Linked DNA regions of Anolis sagrei. The protein of the gene in region 4 interacts with the protein of the main gene of each other region in a biochemical or structural test. Links are inferred from orthologs where the notes say so. Each region holds a gene or a part of one and is shown on either strand. Other genes may lie near its edges.

Region 1 (7,847 bases), on a different chromosome or scaffold from region 4:
GACCACCTGAACTGCCGAGGCTCCAAGCTATGGGATCCCGGGAGTTGTCATTTGGGGAGGCAGAGAAGATGAAAGACCTTGTAAAACTTCAGTTCCTATGGCCCCTTCCTTCTACACTGCCATATAATCCAGATTATGAAATCAGATAATCTACATTATTTGCTTTGAACCAGATTATCTGAGTCTACACTGCCATATAATCCAGTTCAAAGCAGATAATCTGGATTTTATATGTCAGTGTAGAAGGGGCCCAAGGACCCTTCCACACAGCTGTGGAAAATCCAATTTGTTCTGGAATATATGGAAGTGTGGACTCGGGGCCCTACCATACAGCCATGTAACCCAGAATATCAAGGCAGGAAATCCCACAATATCTGAGTGTAGACTCAGGGCCCTTCCACGCAGCCCTAAAACCCAGAATATAACAGCAGAAAACCCCACATTATCTGAGTGTAGACTCAAATAACTCAGTTCAAAACAGATATTGTGGGATTTTCTGCCCTGATATCCTTTGGCACCAAAACATAGGGCTGTGTGGAAGGGCCCTGAGTCCACATTGCCACAAATCCCAGTACAAAGCAGATAATGTGGGGTTTTATTCAGCTGTGTGAAAGGGGCCTCAGATAACCCAGTTCAAAGCAGGTATTGTGGGATTTTCTGCCTTGATATCCTGGGATAGAGTGCTGCATGGAAGGGCCCTGAGTCTACATTGCCATAAATCCCAGTACAAAGCAGATAAGGTGGGGTTTTATTCAGCTGTGTGGAAGGGCTTCAGATAACCCAGTTCAAAGCAGATGGCTGTGTGGAAGGGCCCTGAGGATCCTTCCACATAGTCCTATAGCCCTGAACATCAAGGCAGAAAATCCCGCAATATCTACTTTGAACTGGTCATCTGAGGCCCCTTCCACACAGCTGAATAAAATCCCACATTTTCTGCTTTGAACTGGAATATATGGCAGTGTGGACTCAGACAACTCAGTTCAAGGCAGATATTGTGCTATTTTTTGCCTTGATATCCTGGGATATAGGGCTGTGTGGAAGGGCCCTGAGTCCACACTCAGATAATGTGGGATGTTCTGCCTTGACATTCTGGGTTGCATGACTGTGAGGAAGGGCCCTGAGTGCCTGGTTGGGAAGAGACCCCGGGGATTCTGGGCTTTGTCTTTTCAAGGGACAGAGCAGCAAGTCCCAACAGATGCGCCTCCCGGGTCAGGGGTGGGATGGAGGGGTTCCAGCCTTGGCCCTCCTCTATCACAGCCTCAACAGGTGCCCTTTGAGAACTGAACCAAAAGCCTTCCGAAAGACAGGCAGGCAGGCAGGCAGGCAGACTCCACAGGCAGGCAGACTCCACCCGCAGGCAGAGAGCTGCAAAGCTGGCGGAACAAGATCTCATGGATTCCTAAAAGTTTGCCTTGGAAGTTTCTGCTGCGGGTTTTGGGGGGGGGGGGGGTGCGAGAAAACATGCTCGCAGTCACACATGCCACGCCTTCTAATTTATTTATTTCCAGTATTTCTATCCCATTCCTTCTCAACCCCCAAAGGGGAACTCGGGACAGCTTACATTTGGCAGCAATTTGATACCACTACATATAGCACAGCAATATAATCACAATTCAAACAATAAGTAAAACATTCATTAAAACAGCATAAAAAAGTATGAACAGCCATAACATAATTCCAGCCAATTCCATATCCAAAGTGCCATGACTTCAATTTCTTCCTAAATGACAGGAGGGATGGAGCTGATCTTACCTCAGTGGGAAGCAAGTTACACAGGCAGGGGGCCACAGTGAGAAGGCCCTGTCCCTCATCCTCGCCAGACATATTTGTGATGCTGGCAGGAGCGAGAGCAGGGCCTTCCTGGATGATCTTACCTCAGTGGGAAGCGAGTTCTATGGGCAGGGGGCCACAGCCAAGAAGGCCCTGTCTCTCGTCCCTGCCAGACATATTTGTGACGATGGCAGGAACGAGAGCAGGAGCCCCCGGGATGATCTTACCTCAGTGGGAAGCGAGTTCCACAGGCGGGGGGCCACAGCCAAGAAGGCCCTGTCTCTCGTCCCTGCCAGACATATTTGTGACGATGGCAGGAATGAGAGCAGGAGCCCCCGGGATGATTTTACCTCAGTGGGAAGCAAGTTCCACAGGCGGGGGGCCACAGCCGAGAAGGCCCTGTCTCTCGTCCCCGCCTGACGTATTTGCGACACTGGTGGGAGCGAGAGCAGGGCCTCTCCGGATGATCTTAAATTGCGAGGCAGGACGTAGAGGGAGATGTGTTCAGACAAGTAAGCTGGGTCAAGTAGGTCAAAACCAGCAGAGGATGCTTGCCATAGATGCAGGCGAAACGTCAGGAGAGAATGCCTCTAGAACATGGCCATATAGCCCGAAAAAAACCTACAACAACCCAGTGATTCCGGCCATGAAAGCCTTCGACAATACTTTGAATTGAGCTGGGAAGTGGACCGCCAGCCAGTGGAGCTGACACAACAAGGGGGTGGTCTGCTCCCTTCTAACCCTCGGAGGGCATCTGCCCCAATGCTGAATGAACGCACTTAAGGCTCCAATTAAACTCCCCTTAGTGTTAATTCGACCATACAGATGGACAATCGAGTCCAAAGCCGTCACGTTTGAGCGAAACCTAGGATCAACCGAAAGTAGAGAGAGAGATAGACACAGAGAGAGACTCAAACACCTGGTCTCGGATTTCCAGGAAGAGCAAGACCAAAACCAAAACCAGTCCTGCCCTGATCAACGCGCCCGCGGTGAAAATAGATCTTAAATGAACATCCATACACTTGTTGTTGTTGTTGTTGTGTGGTCTTACCTGCTTGAGAGGCGGCGGGCAGCAGGAACCCCGCGAGAGAAAGCAGCCCCAGGAGGAGACCTGGCCCCGGGAGGCTCTGCCTCATGGCTGAACGGGGATTGGGACTCTTTCAGGTGCTGCCTCCGCTTTCCTTCCGCATAGGCGGCTCTTTCCTCCTCTTTCGGGATGAACAAGAGTCCGGAGCCACTTGATCCCCGAGGAAAAGGTCTCAGTCGGCCATCGCCGCCTCCTCCTCCCTCTCTTCTTCTTCTGTTTCTTTTTCTTTGGGGCCGGATCTCTTTCTGGCCCCCAGATCCCGCTCAGCGCACAGACTTTGATCCGCTCCCCTTTACGCACCACAACTCACTAATTGCACACACTTCATTCAAGGGGAAGCCGAGCTCGCGCCTCATTGGCTGGGACTGCGCCGCGCTCTGACCAATCAGAGGGAAGCCAGAGGGAGCTCCAGAATCCAGGAATGGAAAGAGAGTGTGTGTCATAGAAAAAACCTACAACAATCCAGTGTCATAGAATCTATCTATCTATCATCTATCTGTCTGTCTGTCTGTCTGTCTGTCTGTCTGTCTGTCTGTCTGTCTGTCTGTCTGTCTATCTATCTATCTATCTATCTATCTATCTACCTACCTACCTATCTAAAATGTAATGTTCGTTTGTGGGATTAACATAACTCAAAAACCACTGGACGAATTGCCGCCAAATTTGGACACAAGACACCTACTAACCCAAATAGTGACCATCACTCAAAATAATTGATTTTGTCATTAAGGAGTTGTAGTTGCTGGGATTTATAGTTCACCTACAATCAGAGCATTCTGAACTCCACCAATGATGAAACTGAACCAAACTTGGCACACAGAACTCCCACGACCAACAGAAAAAATTGGGAGGGTTTGGTGGGCACTGACTTTGAGTTTGGGAGTTGTAGTTCACCTACATCCAGAGAGCACTCTGGACTCAAACAATGCTGGATCTGGACCAAACTTGACATGAACATTCCATATGCCCAAATGTGAACACTGGTGGAGTTTGGAGGAAATAGACCTTGACATTTGGGAGTTGTAGTTACTGGGATTTATAGTTCACCTACAATCAAATAACATTCTGACTCCCACCAACGACAGAATTGGGCCAAACCTCCTACACAGAACCCCCATGATCAACAGAAAATACTTAAGGCCATCCAGTCCCTTCACCAAGGCAAGAAAACGTAATGAAATCCCTCCTGAGAAAGAGCCATCCAGCCATAGATATAGATAGATATATATGATTCACACACACATATAGTCTCGTAGATTTGAAAGGGACCCCTAAAGAAGGACAATGATATGTTGCATTTTCTAGAGGAGGCAAACCAGGCCATCTCCACATCAACACTGACAAAGAAACAGCAAGAAATAAAGAAATACTGTCTACCCACAAGCACAAAAATATTACAAGTATTTCTCTTTACTTTTCCAGATCACCAGACTGGGCCACAGCAATGTGTGGCAGGAGACTGCTAGTCATAGAATATCAGAGTTGGAAGAGACCTCGTGGGCCATCCAGTCCAACCCCATTGTATCACAAAATCACAAGTCGAAGCGTCTAGGGCTGTGTGATGTATTTTCAAAGATGTGTGCAGATCCAAGTAAGGTAGCCTTTTGCAGTTGACAAATCGTGATTTTGTCGATGATGATGATGACGACGACGACGATGATGATGATGATGATGATGATTATTATTATTATTATTATTATTATGCTTTTATTGTGTGTTTCTGCATGGCACCCGGTTGGACTGGATGGCCCCTGTGATCTTTTGCATTATTATTATTATTATTATTATTATTATTATTTGTATCTTGCTGTTCTTCCAGGACTTAAACTCAGAATAGCTCTCAGCCTTAGAAACTACACAGTTTGAAAACCTACAAAATACAAATATTAAAATAGAATTAAATATTGTAATTATTAAAACAATAAACCTGTTAAAATGATTCCAGAGGTTGTGAGGTCTGTTGAAAACTAGAGAAGTGGGGTTTAGTTTCCAATCACACCTCTGAGGATGCCTGCCATAGATGTGAGAGAAACATCAGGAGAGAGTGCTTCTGGAACATGGCCATACAGCCCAGAAAACTCACAGCAACCCAGTGATTCCGGCCATGAAAGCCTTCCAACAAACCATTATGACACAAATGTTTATATATAAAATAATCTACCCAACAATCTGACCTTCTGGCCACTTTATGGGTTTCCCTAAAACGCTGTTATGATGACAGCCTGAATTTTGGCATTTACCATTATACTGGCATGAAAACAGCAGGAGTCTGTCAACACCTCAAACTACATTTAGAGCAGATGAGGCTAAACTACACTTCCCAGGACTCTATCACTCTTAGTTTAAAAACAAGAGAAGACTCTCGTACCTTTAATGATTGTACAGATGAGCGAATTTCATGCAGAGGCAACATCTGTTGAAACTCCCTCCATCTCCATTTCTAAGCTGAAGAGCCGGCCTTGTCCGTAGACACCTCCAAGGTCATGTGGCCAGCACATTTACATGTTTTCAAACTGCTAGGTTGACAGGAGCTGGGGCTTACAGTGGGAGTTCACATCGCTCCCTGGATTCAAACCTGCAACCTTTTGATCAGCAAGTTCAGCAGCTCAGCAGCTTAAACCACTGTGCCACCGGGGGCTCCAACCATAGTCTGTGAGTATATACCAGAGTAGGCAAGGAAGCAGGAGGATAACAATCAAGGCTGAACCATGAAGTGTGAACCACAAAGCCACAACTATTTGGGGGAAAGGAAGTTCTCTACGCTTCATTGAGGTTAATGTGGAGAGTTTGGACATTTGTTAGCAGTGCTTGATTTTTTTTTCAAAGGGTGAATGATGTCTGTATCGGAGCAGAAAGATGTCTAACTTCTCTGTTGCTCTCAAGCTGAAACTCAATACATATTTATTTAGAAGCAAGTCCCACTATGTTCACTTGAGTAGACATGGATAGGATTCCACTGGCTAAAGCCTAAAAGAGCTTCTTGCCACAGCTGTTCGTACCAAAGTGCAGAACATGTTTTGAAAATTAAACAGAGCTATGTTTCTAATTGTTTGCATCAAACTGAAATATGTGAAAGCAGTGCACCAGCAACAGGGATACAGTTAACGTTAATTTACAAGTAAATTACGAATGCAGAGCAATAAGAAACATTCATGAATTATTTCCTAACCCTAACACTACTGAAATGTTTGTTTTCCTACAACTCCTCAAAGGGAAATAAATTGTAGTACATAAGCAGAGGGGAAACTGAATGCTGTCCAAGGCAATGGAATACTTCAACACTTTATTTATATTCTTCTTTATGTCTTCGGAGGGACTCAGAGCAGACTACTGTATACACATATAAGGCAAACATTCAATGCCTTTTACCCAGTGAACAACAACGACATACAATACACAGACACAGGTAAAAGTTTTTCCTTTTCATTTCCAGCGTCTGGAAGCGATGCTCAACTCCAACCATGGGGAGGTGCTCTTGTTCCATTTTTCCATGCCAAGGAGCCTGTTGTCCGTAGACATCTCTAATTGTGTTTTGCCGGCGCCCTTTTACCTTCCCACATGCTTTTGAACTGTTAGGTTGGCAGAAGCTAGGGCTGACAGCAGGAGCTCACCCCGACTTGCGGCTTCAAACTGCCAACTCTCCAGTCAGCAGATTTCTTGCAGCTAGCTGTTTAACCCGCTGCGCTACTGTGGCCCCATAGTATTAGCTGAGTACTATGGGTGCATCTATACTGTAGAATAATTCAACTGTACATCACTTTAGTTCAATGCTATGGAATCTTGGGATTTGTAGCTTGATGAGTATCAAGTGTCCTGAAATGTGTTCAGTCCCAGAATTTTGGAGTCACTAAAGCAGGCATGGGCAAACTTGGGCCGTCCAGGTGTTTTGGACTTCAACTCCTACAATTCCTAACAGCCGGTAGGGAGTTGAAGTCCAAAACACCTGGACGGCCCAAGTTCGCCCATGCCTGCCCTAAGACCTTTATTCTCTTTTAAAAACAACCTTCAAGTTGAGACCCATTCCTCATTGTGGCCACCTTGAAGTCCTGCCTAGGCACTGATCCGGAGATCAAAAACTCAACCCACTGTTGTCCACCCTGTTTCTTAAAACCTTGCTGCGTTTTAACCCCTGCTTTCTCTCCACTCCACCCAGAGAGTGAGTCACACACAGGAAACGGGTGACACAAAAGAGGAAAAGGTTACCTTGACCTAATTAGGACCTTGGGCTCTCCTTCAGCCCAGAATTCAGTCTAAACAAGCCTCACAGAAGATGCCAGGCAGGCAAGGAAGGTGTCAGTGGCCCTCCAGATGCTATTAAGATGCAACGCCTATCATCCACCACCATCTGCGATGCTGATCTGGTCCAACATCCAAAGGGCCACAAATTGCCACTGGTTTAAGAGGCATCATTATTTTATAAGACATTTAAGTGTTCACGTTTTTTGAATAGTCTTGTACTCATAAGCTTTGGGGTTCCTCCCTTTTGCTTCGCCCAGTCTTTCCCAAATAGTTTCCAGTCTATTTTCCTGTTCTACCTTCTTGTAATTCTTCCTTCCCAACTACCTTATGTTTTTGTTCTAATATAGTACACAGAGCTAGGACACAAGGAAACATTCTCTCCCTGTTAAAATATTATAATAACCACCCTTGCCAATTGGAATGTAGCTCCTTAGGATGGGATTGGGAATGAGACAGGAAAGGCACCTGTGGCCACCCTCTGGCGCCCCCCTGTGGTTATAAACTGGAATTACCATCCTAAAGTCAACATCCTAAAAATAGTCAAAATTACTGCAACATACTGGCAACAAAGATCCGCATAGTCAAAGCCATGGTATTCCCTGTAGTAACCTACGGATGTGAGAACTGGACCTTAGAGAAGGCTGAGCAAAGGAATATAGATGCTTTTGAGGAAAGTTCTGAGAGTGCCTTGGACTGCGAGAAGATCCAACCAGTCCATACTTCAGAAAATAAAGCCCGGCTGCTCATTGGA
Region 2 (7,889 bases), on a different chromosome or scaffold from region 4:
CAGCAGAAATCTTCCCCAACTCTTCCCACTCCTCCTCCTCTCCCTAAGTTTGGCAGAAAACACCTACAACTCTTCCTCCTCCTCTTCTCCCCCCCCCCTTCTCCTCTTCTTCCTCCTCTTTCTAACTTCAGAAGAAAACTTCCTTAACTCTTCCTCCTCCTCCTCCTCCTCTCCCTAAGTTTGACAGGAAACACCTCCAGCTCTCCTCTTTCTCCCCTTCCTCCTCTCCCTAACTCCGGCATAAAAATTCCCCAGCTCTTCCTCTCCTTCCTCTTCTTGTTCCTCCTCCTCCTCTCCCTAAATTTGGCAGGAAACACCTCCAGCTCTTCCTCCTCCTCCTCCTCTCCCCAACTTTGGCAAAATTCAGATTAGAACTTCCTCTCCTCATCCGCCTCTTCATCCCCTCCTTCCTCTTTCTGTACTTCTTCCTCTTCCTCCTCTTCCCAACTTTAGCAGAAAACTTCCCCAATTCTTCCTCCTCTCCTTCTTTCTCTTCCTCTCTCTAACTTGGGCATAAAGCTTCCCCAGCTCTTCCTCCTCCACTTCTTCTCCTTCTTCCTCCTCTCACTTTTCCTAACTTTAGCAGAAAACTTCCCCAATGCTTTCTCCCTTTCCTCCCCATATTCCTCCCTTTTCTCTCCCTAAGTTTGGCAGAAAACACCTCCAGTTTTTCCTCCTCTTCCTCTTCCTCTTCTTCTTCCTCCTCCTTCTTGCCCTAACTTTGGCACAAAACTTCCCTAACTTTTCCTCCTCTTCCTCCATCCTCTTCCTCACTTTAGCAAAAAACTTCCCAAACATTTCCTCCCTTTCCTCCTTCCTTTCATCTCCCTAAGTCTGGTAGAAAACACCTCCAGCTCTTCCTCTTCCTCCTCTTCTTCCTCCTCCTCCTCTCCCTAACTTGGGCACAAAACTTCCCCAACTCTTCCTCCTCCTCCTCTTCTTCTTCCTCTCCCTAACTTTGGGATAAAAATTCCCCAACCCTTCCTCCTCCCTTTCCTCTTCCTAAATTTGGCAGGAAACACCTCCAGCTCTTCCTCCTCCTCCCCTCCTTTCTGCTCTTCTTCCTATCATCAGAAGAAAACTTCCTCAACTCTTCCTCCTTTTCTTCTTCTGCCTCCTCTCCCTAAGTTTGGAAGGAAACACCTCCAGCTCTTTCTCCTCCTTCTCTTCCTCCCCTCCTTTCTCCTCTTCTTCCTAACAGCAGAAGAAAACTTCCCCAACTCTTCCTCCTCCTCTTCCTCCCTCTCCTTCTTCCTCCTCTCACTCTTCCTAACTTTATCCGAAAACTTTCCCAACGCTTTCTCCTCCCTTTCCTCCCCTTCTTCCTCCTCTCCCTAACTTGGGCACCAAACTTCCCCAACTCTTCCTCCTCCTTTTCCTCTTCTCCCTTTCCTCTCCCTAAGTTTGGCAGAAAGCACCTCTAGGTCTTCCTCCTCCTCCTCCTCCTCTAACTTGGGCACCAAACTTCCCCAACTCTTCCTTTTCCTCTTCTCCTCCCTCCTCCTCCCTTTCCTCTCCCTAAGTTTGGCAGAAAGCACCTCTAGGTCTTCCTCCTCCCCTTCCTCCTCCTCCTCTCCTAACTTGGGCACCAAACTTCCCAACTCTTCCTCCTCCTTTTCCTCTTCTTCTTCCTCCTCCCTTTCCTCTCCCTAAGTTTGGCAGAAAACACCTCTAGGTCTTCCTCCACCTTTTCCTCTTCTTCCTCCTCTTCCTAACTTGAGCACCAAACTTCCCCAACTCTTCCTTTTCCTCTTTCTCCTCCTCCTCCTCTTCCTAACTTGAGCACCAAACTTCCCCAACTCTTCCTTTTCCTCTTTCTCCTCCTCCTCCTCTTCCTAACTTGAGCACCAAACTTCCCCAACTCTTCCTTTTCCTCTTCCTCCTCCTCTTCCTAACTTGAGCACCAAACTTCCCCAACTCTTCCTCCTCCTTTTCCTCTTCCTCCTCCTCCTCCATTTCCTCTCCCTAAGTTTGGCAGAAAACACCTCCAGCTCTTCCTCCTCCTTTTCCTTTCTCCTCCTCTTCCCCTCCCTAACTTGGGCACCAAACTTCCCCAACTCTTCCTCCTCCTTTTCCTCTTCCTCCTCCTCCTCCATTTCCTCTCCCTAAGTTTGGCAGAAAACACCTCCAGCTCTTCCTCCTCCTTTTCCTTTCTCCTCCTCTTCCCCTCCCTAACTTGGGCACCAAACTTCCCCAACTCTTCCTCCTCCTTTTCCTCTTCCTCCTCCTCCTCCATTTCCTCTCCCTAAGTTTGGCAGAAAACACCTCCAGCTCTTCCTCCTCCTTTTCCTTTCTCCTCCTCTTCCCCTCCCTAACTTGGGCACCAAACTTCCCCAACTCTTCCTCCTCCTTTTCCTCTTCCTCCTCCTCCTCCATTTCCTCTCCCTAAGTTTGGCAGAAAACACCTCCAGCTCTTCCTCCTCCTTTTCCTTTCTCCTCCTCTTCCCCTCCCTAACTTGGGCACCAAACTTCCCCAACTCTTCCTCCTCCTTTTCCTCTTCCTCCTCCTCCTCCATTTCCTCTCCCTAAGTTTGGCAGAAAACACCTCCAGCTCTTCCTCCTCCTTTTCCTTTCTCCTCCTCTTCCCCTCCCTAACTTGGGCACCAAACTTCCCCAACTCTTCCTCCTCCTTTTCCTCTTCCTCCTCCTCCTCCATTTCCTCTCCCTAAGTTTGGCAGAAAACACCTCCAGCTCTTCCTCCTCCTTTTCCTTTCTCCTCCTCTTCCCCTCCCTAACTTGGGCACCAAACTTCCCCAACTCTTCCTCCTCCTTTTCCTCTTCCTCCTCCTCCTCCATTTCCTCTCCCTAAGTTTGGCAGAAAACACCTCCAGCTCTTCCTCCTCCTTTTCCTTTCTCCTCCTCTTCCCCTCCCTAACTTGGGCACAAAACTTCCCCAACTCTTCCTCCTCCTCTATTTCCTCTCCCTAAGTTTGGCAGAAAACACCTCCAGCTCTTCCTCTTCCTCCTCCTCTTCCTCTCCCTAACTTGAGCACAAAACTTCCCCAACTCTTCCTCTTCCTCCTCCTTTTCCTCTTCTCCTTCCTCCTCCTCCCTTTCCTCTCCCTAAGTTTGGCAGAAAGCACCTCTAGGTCTTCCTCCTCCCCCTCTCCTAACTCTCCTAACTCCAAACTTTCCTAACTTTTCCCCAACTCTTCCTCCTCCTCCTTCCTCTTCCTCTGACCTTGGCGCCCAGGCGGAGTCCCGCCGTTTGCTGGACCAGGAGGGTCCCGGCTTTCACCGGGGGGTCCATATCCGGAGAGAGAGAGAGAGAGAGCGAGCAAGGCACCGGGAAGACAGACACACTGTAGCAGCCACACCAGCCACTCCCGCGGGTGGAATCGGAAGCAGGAGCCGCCCCGCCCCAGAGAGCCTCTTCGGAAGGGGAGGGGCTTCCTCCCCCCCTCCCTCCAGGCGCGTCACTGGACACACACACACACAGGGCGCCTCTGGGCATGTGCAGAGTGCCTGGGACGCTTTGGTGCAAGCCTGGGCCCTCCCTCCAGGTGTTTTGGACTCCAACTCCCACCATTCCTAACAGCCGGTAGGCTGTTAGGAATGGTGGGAGTTGGAGTCCAAAACACCTGGAGGGAGGGAGATAGGGAGGGCCCAAGTTGCTTTAGTGCCTGAGCTTAACGAGGGGAAAACCCACCCCTCCCTCCAAGAAAAGGAAGCTTGGCAGGTGAGGACAGGTATTTGGGGGGGCGGGGGGGGTAGTTGTGGCGCATGCGCAGGAAGAACTTTTTTGGAGGGAGCTTTTGCAATTATGAAGGCTGCCCACCAGTGGGCACTCGCCAGCCAATGGGGTTCTTTGTATATATGCTCTTATTTATGTTTCATAGGTGCTGCATGGCATAATCCAGCAAATATGGAAAGCACAAGAATGGCCATCAGATTGGGATAATAATAATAATAATAATAATAATAATAATAATAATAATAATGTATTGTCGAAGGCTTTTCATGGCCAGAATCTCTGGGTTGTTGTAGGTTTTTTCAGGCTATAGGGCCATGTTCTAGAGGCATTCTCTCCTGACGTTTCACCTGCATCTATGGCAAGCATCCTCAGAGGTGTGAGGTCTGTTGGAACTAGGAAAATGGGTTTAGATATCTGTGGAATGGCTGGGGTGGGGCAAAGAGCTCTTCTCTGCTGGAGCTAGGTGTGAATGTTTCAGCTGATTACCTTCATTACCATGTGAAGGCCTGCCTGAGCCTGGGAAAACCTTTTGTTGAGAGGTGTTAAGATGTGCCTGGTTGTTTCCTCTCTGCTGTTTTGCTGTTGTAATTTTAGAGTTTTTTAATACTGGTAGCCAGATTTTGTTCATTTTCATGGTTTCCTCCTTTCTGTTGAAATTGTCCACATGCTTTTTGTGGATTTCAATGGCTTCTCTGTATAGCCTGGCATGGTGGTTGTGAGAGTGGTCCAGCATTTCTGTGTTCTCAATCTGCTGTGTCCAGGCTGGTTCCTCAGGTGCTCTGCTATGGCTGACTTCTCTGGTTGACCTAGTCTGCAATGCTGCTGCGTTTGGTAGTCCCGATGGAGACTTGTCCACAGCTGCATGGTACACGGTAGACTCCTGCAGAAGTGAGAGGATCCCTCTTGTCCTTTGCTGAACGGAGCATTGGTTGGATTTTCTTGGTGGGTTTGTAGATTGTTTGTATGTTGTGTTTCCTCATCAGCTTCCCTCTGTGGTCAGTGGTTCCCTTGATGTCTGGCAGGAACACTTTTCCTCTGGGTGGATCTTCATCTTGACTCTCGTGGCTTCTTCTCGGTTGTCTTGCCGCTCTTCTGATGTCTGAGGTGGAGTCTCCATTGGCCTGGAGAGCCCAGTTGAGGTGGTTCTGTTCCTCTTGGAGGAGGTGGGCTTCGCAGATTCTTTTGGCACGGTCTGCCAAGGCTTTGATGGTGCTTCTTTTTTGACTTGGGTGATGGTTGGAGTTTTTATGTAGATATCTATCTGTGTGTGTGGGTTTTCTGTAGACAGTGTGACCCAATTGTTGATCTGGTTTGCGGATGACTAGGACATCTAGGAAAGGCAGTCTTCCTTCATTTTCTTTTTCCATAGTGAACTGGATGTTTGGGTGGATGCTGTTCAGATGGTCCAGGAACCTGTTGAGTATAATAATAATAATAATAATAATAATAATAATTGTATAGAGGTTTGTTTTGCAGTTTTTGCAATTCTCCAATAGTAGTGAACTGCTGACTGTGAGAGCCGTTCAGCAGTGGAACTCTCTGCCCCGGAGGGAGTGTGGTGGAGGCTCCTTCTTTGGAAGCTTTTAAACAGAGGCTGGATGGCCATCTGTCAGGGGTGATTTGAATGCAATATTCCTGCTTCTTGGCAGAATGGGGTTGGACTGGATGGCCCAGGAGGTCTCTTCGAACTCTTTGATTCTATGATTCTATGAAAGTGCAAAAGACAAAGAGGGATCAGCAAAGGACAAGAGGGACCCTCTCACCTCTGCATCAGTCTACCGGATACCATGCTTCTGTGGACAAGTCTACAGAGGGACCACCAAACGCAGCAGCATTTCCCAAACACGCATCAAGGAACATGAAAGGCACTGCAGACTCCCTCAACCAGAGAAATCAGCCATAGCAGAGCACCTGAGGAACCAACCTGGACAAAGAAATGCTGGACCACTCTCACAACCACCATATCAGACTACACAGAGAAGCAATTGAAATCCATAAGCATGTGGACAATTTCAACAGAAAGGAGGAAACCATGAAAATGAACAAAATCTGGCTACCAGTATTAAAAAACTCTGAAATTACAACAGCACAACAACAGAGAGGAAACAAACAAGGACATCTAATCACCTCTCAACAAAAGATTGCTCCAGGCACTGCCAGGCAATCAAATGCTAATCAAGGTGGTCTGTTGAAACAGTCACACCTAGCTCCAACAGACAAGAGTTCTTTGTCCCACCCTGGGCATTATTCCACAGATATATAAACCCATTTTCCTAGTTCCAACAGACCTCACTACTTCTGAGGATGCTTGCCATAGATGCAGGCGAAACGTCAGGAGAGAATGCCTCTAGAACATGGCCATATAGCCCGAAAAAACCTATAACAACCCAGTGATTCCGGCCATGAAAGCCTTCGAGACTACAATAAACAAATAAATATATAAACTTCACTTGCGTAGTTTGCAACAGACCTCACAATCTCTGAGGATGCCTGCCATAGATGAGGGCAAAACGTCAGGAGAGAATGCTTCTGGGACATGGCCAGGCAGCCCGGAAAACTCACAGCAACCCAAATTACGGATGTTTTGCCGTTCTATCCAAATGGCCCAACAGATGTTAAACAGTGGGCTACGTCTTCAGTAAGCACTTGGAGGGAGGGCCGAAGTTGGCCCGTGCCTGGTTTGGAAGCTTTAATTCAACACATTTAATTTGACACAGTGATCCACTAATGCAAAACATTCCCTTTCCCAGAATTTGTCCCTCTTCTCTTTGTCATCCCCTTTCTCTCCGCAGAAGAGCCTTGGCAGCTCCTGGCTCTTGTTTTCGCTCCCCAGGCAGCTGGCCATCAATCGAGAAGCAAGCTGTGAACCATTCCCCCCCCCCCTTTTCCCAAGAAACAGGGCCCAGAACACATTCCCTGCTGTGCATTTGGAAGGGATGGGGATCGGGCCTCTTCCTTGACCGCTGACGGGAGAAGAAAAACATCTGGTGCAATGGCTCCCTGGCTCTTGAACACACACACACATACACACACACACAGAGGCATACACACACCCCTCTTCCAAAACCAGGGAATGTGGTTGCATAACATCACAATAAGGAATGTGGCAATGAAGCTACAGTACAGAGTTAGCAAACTGGCCTTTGAAAATACTGGCCTGAATGTAACAATCACATGCTAGTAATGCTACCTCTATTCCGCCTTGGTTAGACCACACCTGGAATATTGTGTCCAGTTCTGGGCACCACAATTCAAGAGAGATATTGACAAGCTGGAATGTGTCCAGAGGAGAGCGACTAAAATGATCAAGGGTCTGGAGAACAAGCCCTATGAGGAGCGGCTTAAGGAGCTGGGCATGTTTAGCCTGAAGAAGAGAAGGCTGGGAGAAGACATGATAAGGGCCATGTATAAATATGTGAGAGGAAGCCACAGGGAGGAGGAGCAAGCTTCCTTTCTGCTGTCCTGGAGACTAGGACGCAAAGGAACAATGGCTTCAAACTACAAGAGAGGAGATTCCATCTGAACACGAGGAAGGACTTCCTGACTGTGAGAGCCGTTCAGCAGTGGAACTCTCTGCCCCGGAGTGTGGTGGAGGCTGCTTCTTTGGAAGCTTTTAAGCAGAGGCTGGATGGCCATCTGTCAGGGGTGCTTTGAATGCAATATTCCTGCTTCTTGGCAGAATGGGGTTGGACTGGAAGGCCCATGAGGTCTCTTCCAACTCTTGGATTCTATGATGGTATGATCACTTTGTGATCAGAGGTGACCCCCCCCCCCCTTCCCTTCCAAGACTCTGTAAAAGATAGCTCATAATCAGGGAATTTGTAGTTTTGCCAAGGACACCAGGCTGAATTGATCCCATAATCCCCTATCTCTCCTCCTGTTTTTATGAATGGAGTCTGACTATTCAGTGCTCCCCTGAACTTCCATGTACCCCCCCCCCCCCATGAACTCTTATGAGTTCTTATAAACTTTCATGAACTTTATAAAAACTTGTATAAACTTTAATGGACTTAGGAACTTTCCATGGATTCTTCGCAAGCTTCCAGAGGCTTTCATGAACTTTTTGATAAAAAGAATTCATCAGTTAAGGTCAGAGCCTGGGGGAAGACGAAACCAGTTTTTGGGATTTAAGGTTTGCCTGTAGAAAATCTTGTCAGATCAGGCATCGTTTGGAAACCAAGCACAAGCCTCATGG
Region 3 (8,351 bases), on a different chromosome or scaffold from region 4:
GTTCAAAGTTGATAACATGGGATTTTCTGCTCTTATATTCTGGGATATAGGACTGTGTGGAAGGGCTTTTAGTCACATCATTTATATGTGATTCATGAAGGCCCACCTATTGGATTGAAACAAAATGCAGCTAAAAGGCAGATCCGATAATCTAGAACACTGCTTCTTAAATTATAGGTCTTGACCCCAAACGGGATCCCCTTTGCTCAATGTTGGGGTCAGGAAAAATTGGCAACAGTAGAAGGTTGCTGGATGCCATTCATTTCTGCAACTCTGTTAACAACAATGTGCAGTGTTTACAGTGGACTCTGCAGAAAATGCTTCAGCTATACTCCAGAAACAAGAAAATCATTCTGTTTAGAAAGCCATGCAGATATTGATTTCTTATCAGTAAAAGATTGATTTGTATGCCTATTTATATACCTACTTGCTCATATAAAAATATCTTACGTTAAAAAGGTTGTGAGAGGAAAAGGTTTAAGAAGCCCTGATCAACAAAATATTTCCAAATAATTAAACTGATTGTCCTATGGGCCTAGGAAGGGAAACAGGGTTGGTATGTATCGATTCTTCATCCCCATCACCTGTAGATTATCTGCAGGCCTCTAATAAAAGCAGCTGTGCTGCCAGCACAGAAGAAGCAGTAGCATCAGAAAGCTTGAGGGCTGCAGTGTATTGGGATATTCTACTTTGAAAATGAAAAGAAAAGGTTTTTCTTCATAAGATACATTCCCTTAAGTTGAACAGTGCAGTATCTGGAGATACCTGGATATCTTTGTGTGTGTTGCCTGTAAACTTATGGAAATCCCATAAATTTTATAGCGTTTTCCATTGCTTTCCTCTGAATAGAGCCTAAGGCAATACTGTATACATTACCACTTATGTGTATGCTGCTTTTAATCAACTTATGAATAACATACTGTTTTCATAGGCAAGGAGTACTCAGAAGTGGGTTTGTCCATTCCTTCTTCTGAAATATTGGTACAGATTACAGTTGTTGGTATTTGTTGATGATCTGCTGTCCAAGTACTAATCAGGCCTGACCCTACTTAGCCTCTAAGATCAGATGTGTTTGGGTGCCTTTAGATTACAATGAGCCCGTGGTCTCCACTAGGGCTTGGATCAAGTCCTATTATATACAGTAAAGTTGTGTCCCATACATGTCTTTTGTTTTTAATATTTTCAAGCCATGGCTGGTCAAATCTGCAAATGCAGAATTTGTGGATATGGATTGCTGACTATATTTAGGCACCTAAATAATATTGGAATCCTGTAGAATTGGCAAAGTGGTGTGTGTGTATACATAGATTGATAGCCCCTCCCCAAATGTAGACAACTTTTCACAGTTAGTAATTATGACTGCTTTATGGCTAAGGAAATATCTTTATATTGACGTATAAACATTACAATAATGATTTATTACCACTGTATGGTAATATGTTCAAATTTGTCATTCCTGTGCAGCCATTCAACTGTTCACATTGTAAAGTACATTGCTGCCAACTTCCCTTAATGTTTTGTTTATAATTGCACAACACCTTTCTACAGTGCCCAAGTTACAAATTGGAACAGGTACATTTTTAAAGTGTAATTCCAGCTGTGCATGTGCGTTTGTGTAGAGTGTGTATATGGATGTATTTTAATTTGATTTATGTCTAACTGTAATTGTATAATTGTAATTGTTTGTGCTGGCATTTAATTTTGCCATTACCTATGTGAAAACCGCTTTGAGTCCCCTCCCGGGTGAGAAAATGTTATAAATACATATATAATATATATATATGTGTGTGTATGTATATGTGTGTGTGTGTGTATAGATGGGTAATATAGAGAAGGGTTAACAATCCTGTGGAGTTTGTTTTACTATCTGTGTCCCTGTTCAGAAGATTTCCCTCCCTTTCTGTCTCTGTGGCCATTGGATTTTGGATCATTTGGTTTGTTGTGGAAACAAGGATTGGTGAGAAAGCTTCAGTGGAGACTCCCTTTCCCCATGATGACTCTTTCATGTTGGAAATGACAACCTTCTTCAAGTCTTCTCTAGCAATATATTTATCTATGATCCTGTTGCTCACAGTTATCTGTATATGTATGTTTTTCAAAAATTTCAGGAGTGATTTTCCCTTTCTAGGGGTAGATTTCTCTCACTTTCTGTTCTCAGCCCCTTTCTTAACTACAAGTTATTTGTAAGTCGAATGTTTGTAACTCAGGGACAACCTGTATTGGGATCTTTTATATATTTGGGGTAGGGGTGGCAGAGAATTTTTTTAAAATGTTGGGAAGGGGATTGCCAAAGGAAAAAAAAAAGAACTGGAATTAGACTTTTCAGAATGTATGTTTTATAAGGAAGTTGGAATAAATCTATAATTGTAAACTGTTAAAGGCTGTACATCTCTTTGTAAAAAATGAAAAAGAAATCCAGAATTATAAACTGTTAAGGGAATAGATGTTTTTTGGGGGGAAAAGGGTAAAAAAAATATCCAAAATTGCAAGTTGTTAAAGTGACATATATTTTGGCTCTAAAAATGCAAAGAAATCCCAAAATTCCAAGCTGTTAAAGGGGTATACTTGGGGGGGAGGGGAATGCCAAAAATAGAATTATGATCTGCTAAAAGTGTATACAATTTTGAGGAACACCCTGTATGTGCGCCTAGGAATTAAGTGTTTTAGATTATTCAACATGAGAAAAGTATTTTGGAGCAGACCAGCCTCTGCTTCCCTGAGATCCCCCTCCTTCTGTTAGGAGAGAGCCAATGAAGGGGACGGGGAGGGGGAAACACACGCTGCATCCGGGTCCCACTCACCTATCATTGCCAGCGGTGGGAGAAGGGGGCGCTCTCAACCCCCGTCCTTTCCGCCACTCAAGTCTGAACCTTCTGAAGACTACGCTCCCTGCAGGCCGGCCGGACTTTAGACGCAATGCTGGCGGGGGCGGGGCGGGGAACCTCGCAGTGCTTTCTGGGAAACGTAGTTCTCGCCGCCTTGCCCGCGCCTTCACCTCTTCCAGCTACTGAATTCAATGAGTAGTGTGTGTAGGTAAGGGTGTGTGTCACGTGACCAGAGCTACCTCCCCCCCCCGCCTGTGGGTGACGTCACGGCGCGTGGAGACAGCAGCCTCTTGCTTGGCCCTGTTCAATAGAAGGAAAGGAGGGGAGAGGTTGCTTTCTATACATCCTTAGCAACTTATGTTTCAATCTTATCTATTTTCACAATGTTGCACCAGCCTTGGGGATTGTCTCTTGTGTTGTCTTCCAGTTGTAGAAGTCTGTTTTTATAACATTTGTGGATTTAAAAAAAAACATTTTACCAAAAATGTATATACCTTTAAAAAGTAATATTTCAGTGTGTATATATATATATATATATATATATATTCACACACACACATATACATAAATATATTGCCAAAATCAAAGCAAAACGTTTATGCAACGTTTGCAATTCTGTGCTTCGACCATGTGATCAGTGATTGCATTGCTGCTCACTGGTGTCATTTGAACACCTTACACAAAATTGTAATTTCAGGTGGAATTTGTAGGTGACTAAGAATGCATCTACACTGTTGAATTTATGCAGAGTCACGCCACGTTAACTAGTAAAAAAGGAAAGTGGCTGAGGCTGTTAGGTATTGTGGGAGTTGAAGTCCAAAACACCCAGAGGGCCAGAGTTTTTCCATGCCAGCTCTATAGCATACTATTGAGTGGTGGTATCTGTAATTTTACAAGGTCTTTAGCTTTCTTTGCCTAAGAAAGCTGGTGCCTGCCTAAACTAAAAATCCCAGGATTTCCTAGCATTGTGCTGTGGCAGGTAAAGTGGTGTCAAACTGCATTAATTCAACTGTGCAGATGCATCCTCAATCATTATAACAACTCTTCTTCAGTATGGGTATATTTATTTCGCCTTAAAATATTCTGCATGGCTACCATTAAACAATACATACATTTCTGTGGATACTGAGTTGTCAAAGGCTTTCATGGCCAAAATCACTGGGTTGTTGTGAGTTTTCCAGGCTGTATGGCCGTGTTTCAGAGCGTTCTCTCCTGACATTTCACCCACATCTTTGGCAGGCATCCTCAGAGGTGCAAGGCCATTAAATGATAATCAAGGTGGCCAACTGCAACATTCACACTTGCTTCAAACAAAGAAGAGTTTTTCCCCCCACCCTGGGCATTCCACAGATATGTTGTTGTTTATTCATTCAGTCACTTCCATGGACCGATTCTTCATGGACCAGCCTTCGCCAGAGCTCCCTGTCCGCTGTTACCACCCCCAGCCCCACAGATATATAAACCTCAATCTGGCTAATTTCTGACAGACCACACAACCTCTGAGGATGCCTGCCATAGACGTCTCGGCAAAATGCCATACAGACCAGAAAACTCACAGCAACTCTGTGGAGATTGTTGAACTGTTAACCATTTATTGTCTTGTATTGATCATTCATCCCCCTGTCCATTATTTATAGGAACACACTTTGCAAGAGAGAAAAAAGCACATTCTCTTTGGTCCCCAAGTTTAGCAAATGTGTAAATATAAAAAGTGATGTTAGACAGCAAGGGAGAGAAGGTCAGTGACTATATTTATAGGCAGCAATGAGAGATTTACTCTCCAGAAGTCAGCCTCAAGAACAAATAAAGGATGAATGCAAAACATGTACTAAATTAGAATAATGAAAGCATTTGTGAGTGCATTAGACCTACAGATGATAATTTTAATCAGGGTGCCTAAAAATTGGGGGAAAATTATGCAACCTAGTTCTTACTTCTAAAATATTTGAATGCCTTTGCAATGAACTTTTAAAGTGTAATTTTCTTGTATCAAAATTTAAAACAATATACTAGTGAAAGGAAAAGAAGCAGAAGGCAAAATGCAATTGTTTTGGTATGTTTGGTTATATTCATCTTGTGTACATATATAATAATCAGTTCTTTAAAGCATACTGCACTTTCAACAGGTGTATATTTTTTAAGATTTTTTTATTTTTAATATGTATACATACATAGAAACAATTGAAATACAAGTATTATTTCCTCAGTCCCACGACCTCCTCATTTCCACCCGTGAATCTCCACCCTTGATTTCTCTTTACATAATACAAACGTATGAGAATACTATTGAATATTTATATCTCACTATGTTCAAGTGTTTAATTATTTTTCCCTGGTTTCTCCATCTATTCTATAGTCTAAATTCAATGCAAATAGTTTGACTATAGCTCAGAGTCTTATGATGATGTAAACCGGGATACAGGATGATGAAGAATCAAAATGAATGCTTTTGAGAACCTTAGACAGTTATATATAAGATTAATAAAACTCAACAGGTGTATATGACATATACATGGATTTTGTGTTTAGCCTTAGGTCCTAAGATGGGCTGCATCAACACATTGTAGAATTAATGCAGTCTGGCACCACTTTAATGCCATGGCTCAATGCAAGGTAATCTGGAAGGCTGTAGTTTGATGGAGAACCCGTGCTCTTTGGCAGAGAAGTCTGAAGACCTGCAGCTACAACTTCCATGATGCCACAGTATATAGCCATGGAAGAAAAAGGCTGGATCTACACTGCCATATAATGCAGCTTGAAATGCTTTGGAATACCGGCCCCAGAGAGATCAAAATGGCACTGTGATGTCTCGGCCTGTTTATTTCTCAGTTGGACTGTTCCATTTTACCAAGTTTAGGGGAGAGCTTAGGTTCCCCTAGAGGCCGAGTTCGGTTGGTGCAGCCCATTCTGACTCAGAGCCAGAATGGGCTGGTTATAGAACTTCGTTTCCCATTCTTTGTCAGTCTTAGCTTATAGATAGTTGCCAGATAGTGTCTGGTCTGGCCAAGCAATTTGAACAGGCCATCCTAATCACGTATTTGCCAAAGCTTATAGATAAATAGTAATATACATAGAATAGTTATAGCCGTATTTGCCTTAAAGTTTATAACACGTATTTGCCTTATAGATAGTATTTGCCCTAAAGTTTATAATAGATAGTTCGTAGATAGTTGTATTTGCCATAGAATAGTTATAGATAGTTAGATAGATAGTTTATAGATAATATATGTAATAAAGGATAGATAATATTTGTCATAGATAGATAGTTACATCATCCCCCATAGTGTATAGTTATATTTACCTCAGTTATACCATCATAATTAATCTTCACCTTTGTACATTGTTGTAATTCATCTTGTTTGTTTAGTAAACTCAATTTGGTTAAACTTAATCTTGTTTATAGAGTTTTATTTTGGGGGAATTATAGTAATTAGGGCATATCGATGGTCACTGGGAAAATAGCCAGACACATTTGGGTTTTTCATTAGATCTCCCTGGTGTGCCATCACAGTGATTAGGATCCTGATCGGCTTGTAGCCGATTCAAATTGCTTATAGAAAGTTATAAGAGAGAGCCCACTCCCTGCAAAGGGGGTGTGAGAGAAGAAAAAGCACTGTTTACATAGTGATTGGGAGCCTGATCGGCCTTGTGGCCGATTCGGATCGCTTATAGAAAGAAAAGAGAGAGCCCTCTCCCTCAGGGTGTGTGAGAGAAAAAGGCACTGTTTCCACTTTTCCATTGGAAAGTGTAACAAAGTTATAGGAATACTTGGGTGAAGTGTTGCTAAATTGAATACTTTTATAGTAAGGAGAGTTAGGGGCAGCTTTTAAAGTAAAAAAGCTGCCTGCCTGCCCTTTTAAAAGACATTGGAGGCTTGTTTCCTGTCAGAGAGTGAAAAGGGCAAAGCTAGCACCTGCTATTTGTCTTAAGGGGGCATTTGGCGCCAAAAGGGGTTTTTTACAGTTTGGCAGCCATTTTGTGTTCATCCTATTATAGTAACATCAGAACTGTGACAGCCTTATTGTCCCCTCAAAAAGAAGCGGCGGCCATTTTGCCTTCACCAGTATACATAGATTTCTATGGGATTTTGTGCTGATAGTGTAGAAAGAGCGGGAAAAGGTGTTTTGGCGCCTGTTCTGGCATTTTTCTGAGGAAAAGGAGTTAGAAGACTCTTATACCTATTCCAGTAAATTGTTGTTTTGCTGTTATAGTATAGGTGGTGACAGTAGGCTGTGTGAACATTTTGCCTCACACTCAGTCCTCTTCACCCACATAGAGTTGTTGCCTCAGCAACCAGCATACAACAAGAATGGATGGGCTTTCTGATGGAAGTGCAGACAGACATGTACACATTTCCCGTTCACATAGGGTTAGGCACCCCACAGAGAAGGCCCTACAGCTGTTGCTAGAAAGGGAAAGTCATTTAATTGTGAAGGCAGAAAGTGCTTGGAAACACGTGCAGTATAGCATGAACACCTTGTCAGCCTCCAGAGACCCTGAGGTAATAGCAGTGCACAAAGAAGAGCTCCAGGATAGTTTTTTACTCTGGAAAATTAGTATAGAAAGGCAACAACAAGTCCTTACAAACATCAATGATGATGATGCCCAAGCAAGACTGCAAGCATTGTCATTGGACTATCAAAGTAAAGAAAGAGAATTTAATGCCGTGCTTGAAGCTGCACAGTTTCAGCTTCAGGAATTTCAGCTGAGGGAGGCTTACTCTTTATCCCCTCCTAGAAGCCCCAAGTCCAGCAAGGGTTTCTACCCTCAGCGTCCCCTAAGTGTCAGATCACTTAGCCACCGTTCACATTCCAGTGTACATTCCAGCAAAAGTGCCTCATCTTCCCACAGTAAGATTTCTTCTGTGGCAGCTCAACATTTCAAAGAAGTTGAGAGGATGAAGCTCAAGGCGCAAATATTGCAGGCAGAAGCTGAATCGGCTATGGCTGTGAAGGAGCTAGATTTCTCTCAACTAGAAGCTAAGCAGGCTATACAGCAAGCTGAAATGGAAGCCCAGCTATCAGCTTTACAAAGCAAAAGAAATATAACTGAAAAGGCCAAGGAAGCGGCCAAGCTTGCTGTTAGGGCAAGAATTCTTGCCAAAGCTTTTCAGGATGAGTTGATTCCTGAAAATGTTAGGCTGCTGCCTCAGGAGGACATCGAATCAAAGATGTCATTTCTTCTCCTGTCTGACAAAGATGTCACCACCAAAAAGCTAAGCCCCATCTATACCAACACAATAGAGGATCTGCCTAATGCTGAGGGGAAAAGATCTGCATCTCAGCTTAACCATCAGCCATCAGCAGCTGTCTTTCACGAAGATGAGAGTCCTGTCAAAGTGCAGAAATCTACAGCGGGGAGCCAGTCCTTTATGCTCCCCACCTGTTCCCCTGTTCCTGCCAACTGGTCCCTCCCTGACCCCAAACCTGAGAAAGAACTTAAAGTGGAGTTTTTGGACAATGCACCTTGTGTCCAGAATTCCTTCCCCAGCCAAACCATAGCCTCAGGTGATTCTCCTTTGGGTCA
Region 4 (8,169 bases):
CATTCAACTACAGTCGCGGGGATGGACAGGCGGCCCTTGGAGAAAGTAACTTTTTGTCACAATCATGGTTAGAAAGGGGGGTAAAATATACAAAAAAAGAGAGAAAAATAATTGATAGAAGGAAGCAGAAGACACTTTCAAGAAGGCCTGTGAGTGTGTGAAGATAAGGCGACTGAAAATAATTGACACTTATTTGGTAAGAAGTAAATAAATCTCTGGAGAGAAGAGGACCCCCAAAAAAGTAGAAATAGCAACAAGAATACTAGCAGGAAAGATGGAGATAGTTTGCTTGGGTTGAGTGGAAGAAAATACGATGAAAGAAGGGTGAAAATACACCGCTCATCTCAAATTTAGTATCAATAGTTGTGAGGGGCTAGTGAAGACTGACTTTGAAAGAATGTAAAAAACGGAGTGAAAAAGAAGAGCAAAACATGAAGGAAAGGATTGTGCAGGTTCCCTCAACAAAGGACAATATAATAATAATACTAATAGGGAGAAGAAAGGGAAGTGAGGGAAAGAAACATACAAATCCCCAAAATGAACGTCAAACTTAGTAAGGAGGAAAAGAATAAGGCTACTAAAGAAGAGGGTGATTTTGGGGGGAAAGACAAGAATTCAAGTAGGTGAAGGAAGGAAAGAAAAACTCCCTCACATACATACACTCAAAAATAATATTTAAATAATATGAGTAGGGAAAGTGGGGGATAATAAAGAAGGCGAAGAACTGAGGGAAAGAAATGGCCAAATAAATAATGGAGAGGAAGAAAGGAAAAGGAAAGAAATGCACAGGTCCTGCCCTTCACATAAAGCCCAAATATTTAATATTTCAAACAGTTTTGAGGAGGGAAAAAAGGGAGATATTAAGAAGGTGAAGAATTAGGAAACAGGTTGGGGGGAACGAAGGGGGTGTGTGGGGGAAAATGCGGAGATTAATACAAAAATAAATAAATAAGAGAGTGAGAAAAGTGAGGGAAAGCAATGCAGATGCCACCCCAAATTGGAGATGTAAACCATGAGAGTAGAGCAAGAATCAAGAAATAAGACTGAGGGGTGGAAGAGGGGAAGAAAGGTACAAAAAAAACCCCAGAAAAGTGAGGGAATGCAACGCAGATTTCCCCTCACAAAAGCCCACAATAAAATAGGGAATAAGAAGGGAAAAGTGAGGGAAAGCAATGCAGATGTTCCCCTCACAATAACCCTCCCCAAAATGAGAAGAATGGAGTAAGAATCAAGAAAGAAGAGTGAGGGAGGGAAAGAGGGGAAGAAAGGCACAAGCACCTCCAGAAAAGTGAGGGAATGCAATGCAGATGCCACCCTCAGAAAATCCCACCCCAAAATGAAGATGTAAAGCAGGAGAGTGGAGTAAGACTCGAGAAAGAAGAGTGATGGGTGGAAGAGGGGAATAAAGGCACACACACCCAGAAAAGTGAGGGGATGCAACACAGATTTCCCCTCACAAAAGCCCACAACAAAAAGGGAGCAAGAAGGGGAAAGTGAGGGAATGAAACCAGATCTCCCCCTCACAATCCACCCCAAAATGAGGAGAATGGAGTAAGAATCAAGAAAGAAGAGTGAGGGGTGGAAGAAGGGAAGAAAGGCACAAACACCACCAGAAAAATGAGAAATGCAATGTAGAAAGGCACACACGCACACCCAGAAAAGTGAGGGGATGCAACACAGATTTCCCCTCACAAAAACCCACAACAAAAAGGGAATAAGAAGAGAAAAGTGAGAGAATGAAACCAGGTCTCCCCCTCACAATAACCCACCCCAAAATGAGGAGAATGGAGAAGGAATCCCACCCCAAAATGAAGATGTAAAGCAGGAGAGTGGAGCAAGAATCAAGAAAGAAGAGTGAGGGGTGGAAGAGGGGAAGAAAGGCACAAACACCCCCAGAAAAGTGAGGGAATGCAATGCAGATTTCCCCTCACACAAACCCACCTCAAAAGGGGGACAAGAAGGGAAAAGTGAGGGAAAGCAATGCAGATTTCCCCTCACAAATGCCCCCAACAAAAAGGGAGCAAGAAGGAAAAAGTGAGGGAATGCAATGCAGATTTCCCCTCACAAAAGCCGACAATAAAAAAGGGAACAAGAAGGGGAAAGTGAGGGAATGAGACCAGATCTCCCCCTCACAACAACCCACCCCAAAATGAGGAGAATGGAGAAAGAACCCCAGGCCAAAATTAGGATGTAAAGCAGGAGAGTGGAGCAAGAATCAAGAAAGAAGAGTGAGGGGTGGAAGAGGGGAAGAAAGGCACAAACACCCCCAGAAAAGTGAGGGAATGCAATGCAGATTTCCCCTCACAAAAGCCGACAATAAAAAAGGGAGTAAGAAGGGAAAAGTGAGGGAATGCAATGCAGATTTCCCCTCACAAAAACCCTCCACAAAAAGGGAACAAGAAAGGAAAAGTGAGGGAATGCAATGCAGATTTCCTCTCACAAAAACCCTCCACAAAAAGGGAACAAGAAAGGAAAAGTGAGGGAATGCAATGCAGATTTCCTCTCACAAAAACCCTCCACAAAAAGGGAACAAGAAAGGAAAAGTGAGGGAATGCAATGCAGATTTCCCCTCACAAAAACCCACCACAAAAGGGGTACAAGAAGGGAAAAGTGGGGGAATGCAATGCAGATTTCCCCTCACAAAAACTCTCCCCAAAATGAGGAGAGTGGAGTAAGAATCAAGGAAGAAGAGTGAGGGGTGGAAGAGGGGAAGAAAGGCACAAACCACCCCCAGAAAAGTGAGGGAATGCAATGCAGATTTCCCCTCACAAAAGCCCACCACAAGAAGGGGACAAGAAGGGAAAAGTGAGGGAATGCAATGCAGATTTCCCCTCACAAAAACTCTCCCCAAAATGAGGCAAATGGAGTAAGAATCAAGAAGGAAGAGTGAGGGGTGGAAGAGGGGAAGAAAGGCACAAACACCCCCAGAAAAAATGAGGGAATGCAATGCAGATTTCTCCTCACAAAAGCCCACCACAAAAAGGGGACAAGAAGGGAAAAGTGAGGGAATGCAGTGCAGATTTCCCCTCACAAAAACTCTCCCCAAAATGAGGAGAATGGAGTCAGAATCAAGGAAGAGTGAGGGGGTGGGTGAAGGAAAGAAAGGCACACCTGACCCACTGGCAAAAAACCCAAAATAGATGAGGAAGGAAGTGAAAGATTGGAGAGAAGAGGGTGAGGGAAAAGAAGGGAAAGAAATGCAGGAAGGAGGACTAACTAGAGGAGGAGGGAGAGGGGAGAGTCTGAGAGGAAAGGAAGGCGCGAGAGAGGCGTACTAATGGAGAGGAGGGGGCCTAGGAAGCGGCCCTGCTCGGCGCCTCCTCAGCGCGCCCCGCCGCCATGTTGGGAAGGGAAGGGAGCCGGCCTGCCTCCTCTCTCTCTCGCCCGCCCCCTTCTCCGCCCCTTCCTCGCCGCGAGGGGAGGAGCAGCAGCCCGGGGAAGCCTCCCAGGAGAGTCCCCAGCCTCCCGGGCCTAGCCTTTTGGGGGTGTGGGTGGAAGGAAAGGGGCGCCATTTTGGGAGGGGCGCTTCCTCACAGGGCAAACACACCTGTGGGAAGCCTCGCCTCAGGAAAGGGCCAGGTATCCCAGCCTCACACTCTGGATATACCACGCCTTCCTTCATTTAGCAGGGAATAGGGGATTTTTCCCACACACAAAAATGAAAAAAGTGGCTTCTAAATCACCTCACGAGGGGCAAAAATGGAATCATAGAATCCTAGAGTTGGAAGAGACCTGATGGGCCATCATCCAGTCCATCCACTGCCAGAAGGGACTGAGTTTCATCTATGCTGATGATCGTGCCATCACCGCTCAAGCAGGGAGCTTTGAGATGGTTGAACAGAAGCTCTCCGAAGCTCTAGGCACTCTTACTGCCTCTCCAAAGCTTGCTCCATCCATGTTCAATATGTACAGATATTATCAGCCACTGCCAGAAGGGACAGAGAGTTTCATCTATGCTGATGATCGTGCCATCACCGCTCAAGCAGGGAGCTTTGAGATGGTTGAATAGAAGCTCTCCGAAGCTCTAGGCGCTCTTACTGCCTCTCCGAAGCTTGCTCCATCCATGTTCAATATGTACAAACATTATCAGCCACTGCCAGAAGGGACAGAGAGTTTCATCTATGCTGATGATCGTGCCATCACCGCTCAAGCAGGGAGCTTTGACATAGTTGAACAGAAGCTTTAGGTGCTCTTACTGCCTATTACAGGGAAAACCAGCTGATCCCCAACCCATCTAAAACACAGACATGTGCCTTTCATCTCAAGAACAGAGAAGCATCCCGAGCTCTGAGGATGATTACCTGGGAAGGAAGGAATCCCACTGGAGCATTGCAGCACACCCAAATACCTGGGAGTCACTCTGGACCGTTCTCTGACCTACAAGAAGCACAGCCTGAACAGCAAGCAAAAAGTGGGCGCTAGAAACAATATCATGCAAAAACTGACTGGCACAACCTGGGGATCACAACCAGGCACAGTGAAGGCATCTGCCCTTGCGCTGTGCTATTCTGCTGCTGAGTATGCACGCCTGGTGTGGAACACATCTCACCACGCTAAATACTGGATGTGGCTCTGAATGAGACATGCCGCATTATCACGGGGTGTCTGTGTCCTACACCACTGGAGAAATTACACTGTTTGGCCGGTATCGCACCACCTGACATCCGCCGGGAAGGAGCAGCCAATAGTGAAAGGACCAAGGCAGTGACATCTCCAGCTCATCCCCTGTTTGGGTATCAGCCAGCATGTCAACGTCTTTAATCAAGATCTACAGAGACACTCACTGGAACACCCCAGCAAGTGAGAGTCCAAAAGTGGCAGGCTCAAACCCAGAACCTCATTCAATGGCTGATACCCAATGAGAGACTCCCCCCTGGGCACACAGAGGACTGGGCGACGTGGAAGGCGCTGAACAGACTGCGCTCTGGCACCACGAGATGCAGAGCCAACCTTCAGAAATGGGGCCACAAAGTGGAATCCACGACATGCGAGTGTGGAGAGGAGTAAACTCCCCTTGAAGGCGCAGGTTCGCAGCTTGGGTGTGATCCTGGACTCATCGTTAAGCCTGGAGCCCCAGGTCTCAGCGGTGACCAGGGGAGCATTTGCACAGCTCAGGCTCGTGCGCCAGCTGCTTCCTTCTATCCTTCCTTCCCTTGTTTCCTTCTTTCTCCCTTCCCTCCCTCTCCCTCCATTCCCTTCCACCCTTTCCTCCTTCCTTCCCTCTCTCCCTTCCCTTCTTTCTCCCTTCCCTTCCTTCGCTCCCTCTCTCCATCCATTCCCTTCCCCCCTTTTGTCCTTCCTTCCCTTTTGTCCTTCCTTCTTTCCCCCTTCCCTCTCTCCCTCCATTCTCTTCCATGCTTTCGTCTGTCTTTCTCCCTTCCTCCCTCCATTGCGTTGCACCCCTTTGTCCTTCCTTCCTTCCTTCCCCTTTTTCCTTCCTTCTTTCCTCCTTCCTTCCCTCCCTCCCTCCATTCCCTTCCACCCCTTTGTCCTTCTTTCTTTCCCTCTTGTCTTTTCTTCTTTCTCTCTTCTCTTCCCACTAATGCGAAGAGTTACCTGCAGAACCAGCAAGAAAAAAGCAAAGACACAACATTTTTTTTCCCTTAGCGAAAAAAACCCAACAAAATGAGATCTTTTCATTTTGGGTGTTTTCTTAAAAACAATTTACTGGGCTGCATTTAAGTACTTCCAATACAGAAAAAAAATATTTTAAAAATACCTACCATATAGTTAAGTTATACCTGGAATTGACTTTAGAAGAGTTTGCAATATCATACAAACTCTCAGCTATACCCACTGCATAGGAAAGGTAATAGTAGAGTATGTGCCGGGTTCAAATCAATGTATGGTCCATTAGGAAAGTAGGGATATTGTCAATTTACTTTTTTTGGGATTGTCTAATGAGGCTACAATCCTCCAAATTCAAGGGCCACTGGGTGTTCGCGGGAACCATAAATCCCCCAAATTAAATGGGCAATGCTCCCAGAAGTGGGTGCCTTATTGGCATAACAACACAACCATAGCGATACAAACGTCATCATTTGTGCCAAGGTGGGGCCATTGTTCTCCATGGATCCAAAAGCTCCACATAGTTTGTAGGTGGGGTCTGAGGCTGTTAGGAATTGTGGGAGTTGAAGTCCAAAACACCTAGAGGGAGGGCTGAAGTTTGCCCATGCCTGAGTAATAAGAAACACAGAGGGGACCTAAACCAATGAATCAATACTTCCAAAGTATAAAACCAACACAGTTCCATGTCTGGAGGCTATAATGTGCAAGAGTGGTAGCCCAAGGTGAAGGACAGGACACCAGAAGATGTGAAATGAGAACGAGGAGAGGTTGATCATTCTCCACCAGGCGTGTGCGTTTTGTTCTAACCGGCATCAAGAACTTCCTTCGTCAAAGAATTTCATCTGACACAATCTATAACCAAAAAGAAGTCCAACGTTCACAGGAAGGGAGAAAAGGGCAACGTCTTCTTGAAGGCATCACCCCTCCAGTTCCAGCAGTCTCTGCCGAGTCTCCAAAACGATCTCCTCCATCACCTCCGGCTTCAGTAGATCCTTGATCTGCAATAGAATGAACGGAGAAGTGATTCCAGATCTCACAATAGGAGTGCAGGTGAGTGGCAAGTACCTAGGCCAGGTGTTAAATCACCAGCAGCAATAGATATTACCAATCAAAAGGTTGGCAGTTCGAAGCCCAGGTCTGGGTGACCTCTGGACCTTCAGTTTACTGTCCACCTGAGCTGTGAGTAGAGAAATTAAGTGGGGAGATATAAAGGAAATACCAGAAAATGCCAGCGATCAAAGGAAGGAGGAAGTCTGTGATCAAGGGCTCTACATCACAGAGGATGGAGTGACAGCACCCTCCTGTGGCCGGAATCAAGCACAACCTCCAGGACGCCGAAGTTGGGAAAAATGCCGACATACTACCTCTATCTGTTGTTTGTCCTCTCTGTTTAAAGGCATTGAATGTTTGCTGTGTATGTGTTCTGTGATCTCACCTGAGTCTCCTTCGGGGTGAGAATGGCAGAATATAAATGTAAATAAATAAATAAATAAGGATGGATTTTAAATGTGTGTGCTTTGTTTACTCTCTGTTTTGCGTATTTTAATATGTATTTTATAGATACGTTTTTGTGTGTAGCTTTTATAGAGGTATGTTTTAATATGTGCATTTGTAGGTGTTTTTCAAGTGTTTACGTGTTTTAATTGGTCTGTAGCCTGGCTTGAGAGACGGGTAAGAAATTATTATTATGTATTGTCGAAGGCTTTCATGGCCGAAATCACTGGGTTGTTGTAGGTTTTTTCGGGCTATATGGCCATGGTCTAGAGGCATTCTCTCCTGACGTTTCGCCTGCATCTATGGCAAGAATCCAGGATGCTTGCCATAGATGCAGGCGAAACGTCAGGAGAGAATGCCTCTAGACCATGGCCATATAGCCCGAAAAAACCTACAACAACCCAATTATTATTATTATTATTATTATTATTATAAATATTATTTATTTATTTATTTATTATTTATTTATTATTTGCATTTATTTACCGCCACTCTCAGCCCGCATTTATAATTTTAAATATTATAATAATTGTAATTTTATTATAATATATTCTTAGTAGTAGTAGTAGTGGTAGTAACACAAGATGAGTCCACAGCAGACACTCTGCTGGCTGTTGTATTGGATCACACGTTGGACACTTCCCAAGTGTCTAGGACTGTGTGATGTATCAGCAAATAATGCGTACAGATCCCAGTAAGGTGGCCTTTTGCAGGTGGCAGATGGCAATCTTGTCAGCGCCAATTGTTTTTAAGTGCAGGCCAAGGTCTTTAGGCACTGCACCCAGTGTGCAGATCAACACTGGGACCACCTTTACTATTTTAATGATTGTTCTACTGTTTATGGATGTATTTTAATTTGATGTATGTCTAACTGTAATTGTATAATCGTAATTGTTTCTGCTGGCACTGAATTTTGCCATTACCTATGTGGAAACCGCTTTGAGTCCCCTTCGGGGTGAGAAAAGCAGTATACAAATACCGTAAATAAATAAATACTGTCCTTCCACAAACACCACTATCACCTTTTTGTCCATGTCCCAGCATTTTAACTTTACATTTGGCCTTCCCACTGTTTCTAATTTTGTGTTGTCTTATCGCTAATGTTGT

Evidence for each region.
Region 1: the proteins of ABL1 (region 4) and ERBB3 form a complex in vitro, tested with the Homo sapiens proteins (2 studies listed by BioGRID and IntAct, with this or other methods). The link is inferred for Anolis sagrei from reciprocal best matches to the Homo sapiens genes ABL1 and ERBB3.
Region 2: the proteins of ABL1 (region 4) and DOK1 form a complex in vitro, tested with the Homo sapiens proteins (5 studies listed by BioGRID, with this or other methods). The link is inferred for Anolis sagrei from reciprocal best matches to the Homo sapiens genes ABL1 and DOK1.
Region 3: the proteins of ABL1 (region 4) and PRKN form a complex in vitro, tested with the Homo sapiens proteins (2 studies listed by BioGRID, with this or other methods). The link is inferred for Anolis sagrei from reciprocal best matches to the Homo sapiens genes ABL1 and PRKN.

The regions. Positions count from the first base shown.
Region 1 is NC_090022.1:146,696,667-146,704,513, reverse strand, and holds the start of ERBB3 (receptor tyrosine-protein kinase erbB-3), read right to left. Parts: upstream 3,171-7,847; 5' UTR 2,907-3,170; coding exon 2,822-2,906; intron 1-2,821. UniProt on the Homo sapiens protein: Tyrosine-protein kinase that plays an essential role as cell surface receptor for neuregulins.
Region 2 is NC_090025.1:3,737,729-3,745,617, reverse strand, and holds the start of DOK1 (docking protein 1), read right to left. Parts: upstream 3,370-7,889; 5' UTR 3,251-3,369; coding exon 3,182-3,250; intron 1-3,181. UniProt on the Homo sapiens protein: DOK proteins are enzymatically inert adaptor or scaffolding proteins. They provide a docking platform for the assembly of multimolecular signaling complexes. DOK1 appears to be a negative regulator of the insulin signaling pathway.
Region 3 is NC_090021.1:66,822,517-66,830,867, reverse strand, and holds the start of PRKN (E3 ubiquitin-protein ligase parkin), read right to left. Parts: upstream 3,035-8,351; 5' UTR 2,809-3,034; coding exon 2,802-2,808; intron 1-2,801. UniProt on the Homo sapiens protein: Functions within a multiprotein E3 ubiquitin ligase complex, catalyzing the covalent attachment of ubiquitin moieties onto substrate proteins. Substrates include SYT11 and VDAC1.
Region 4 is NC_090031.1:2,821,721-2,829,889, forward strand, and holds the start of ABL1 (tyrosine-protein kinase ABL1), read right to left. Parts: upstream 3,378-8,169; 5' UTR 1-3,377. Other genes in the region: EXOSC2 (exosome complex component RRP4), read right to left, coding at 6,486-6,566. UniProt on the Homo sapiens protein: Non-receptor tyrosine-protein kinase that plays a role in many key processes linked to cell growth and survival such as cytoskeleton remodeling in response to extracellular stimuli, cell motility and adhesion, receptor endocytosis, autophagy, DNA damage response and apoptosis.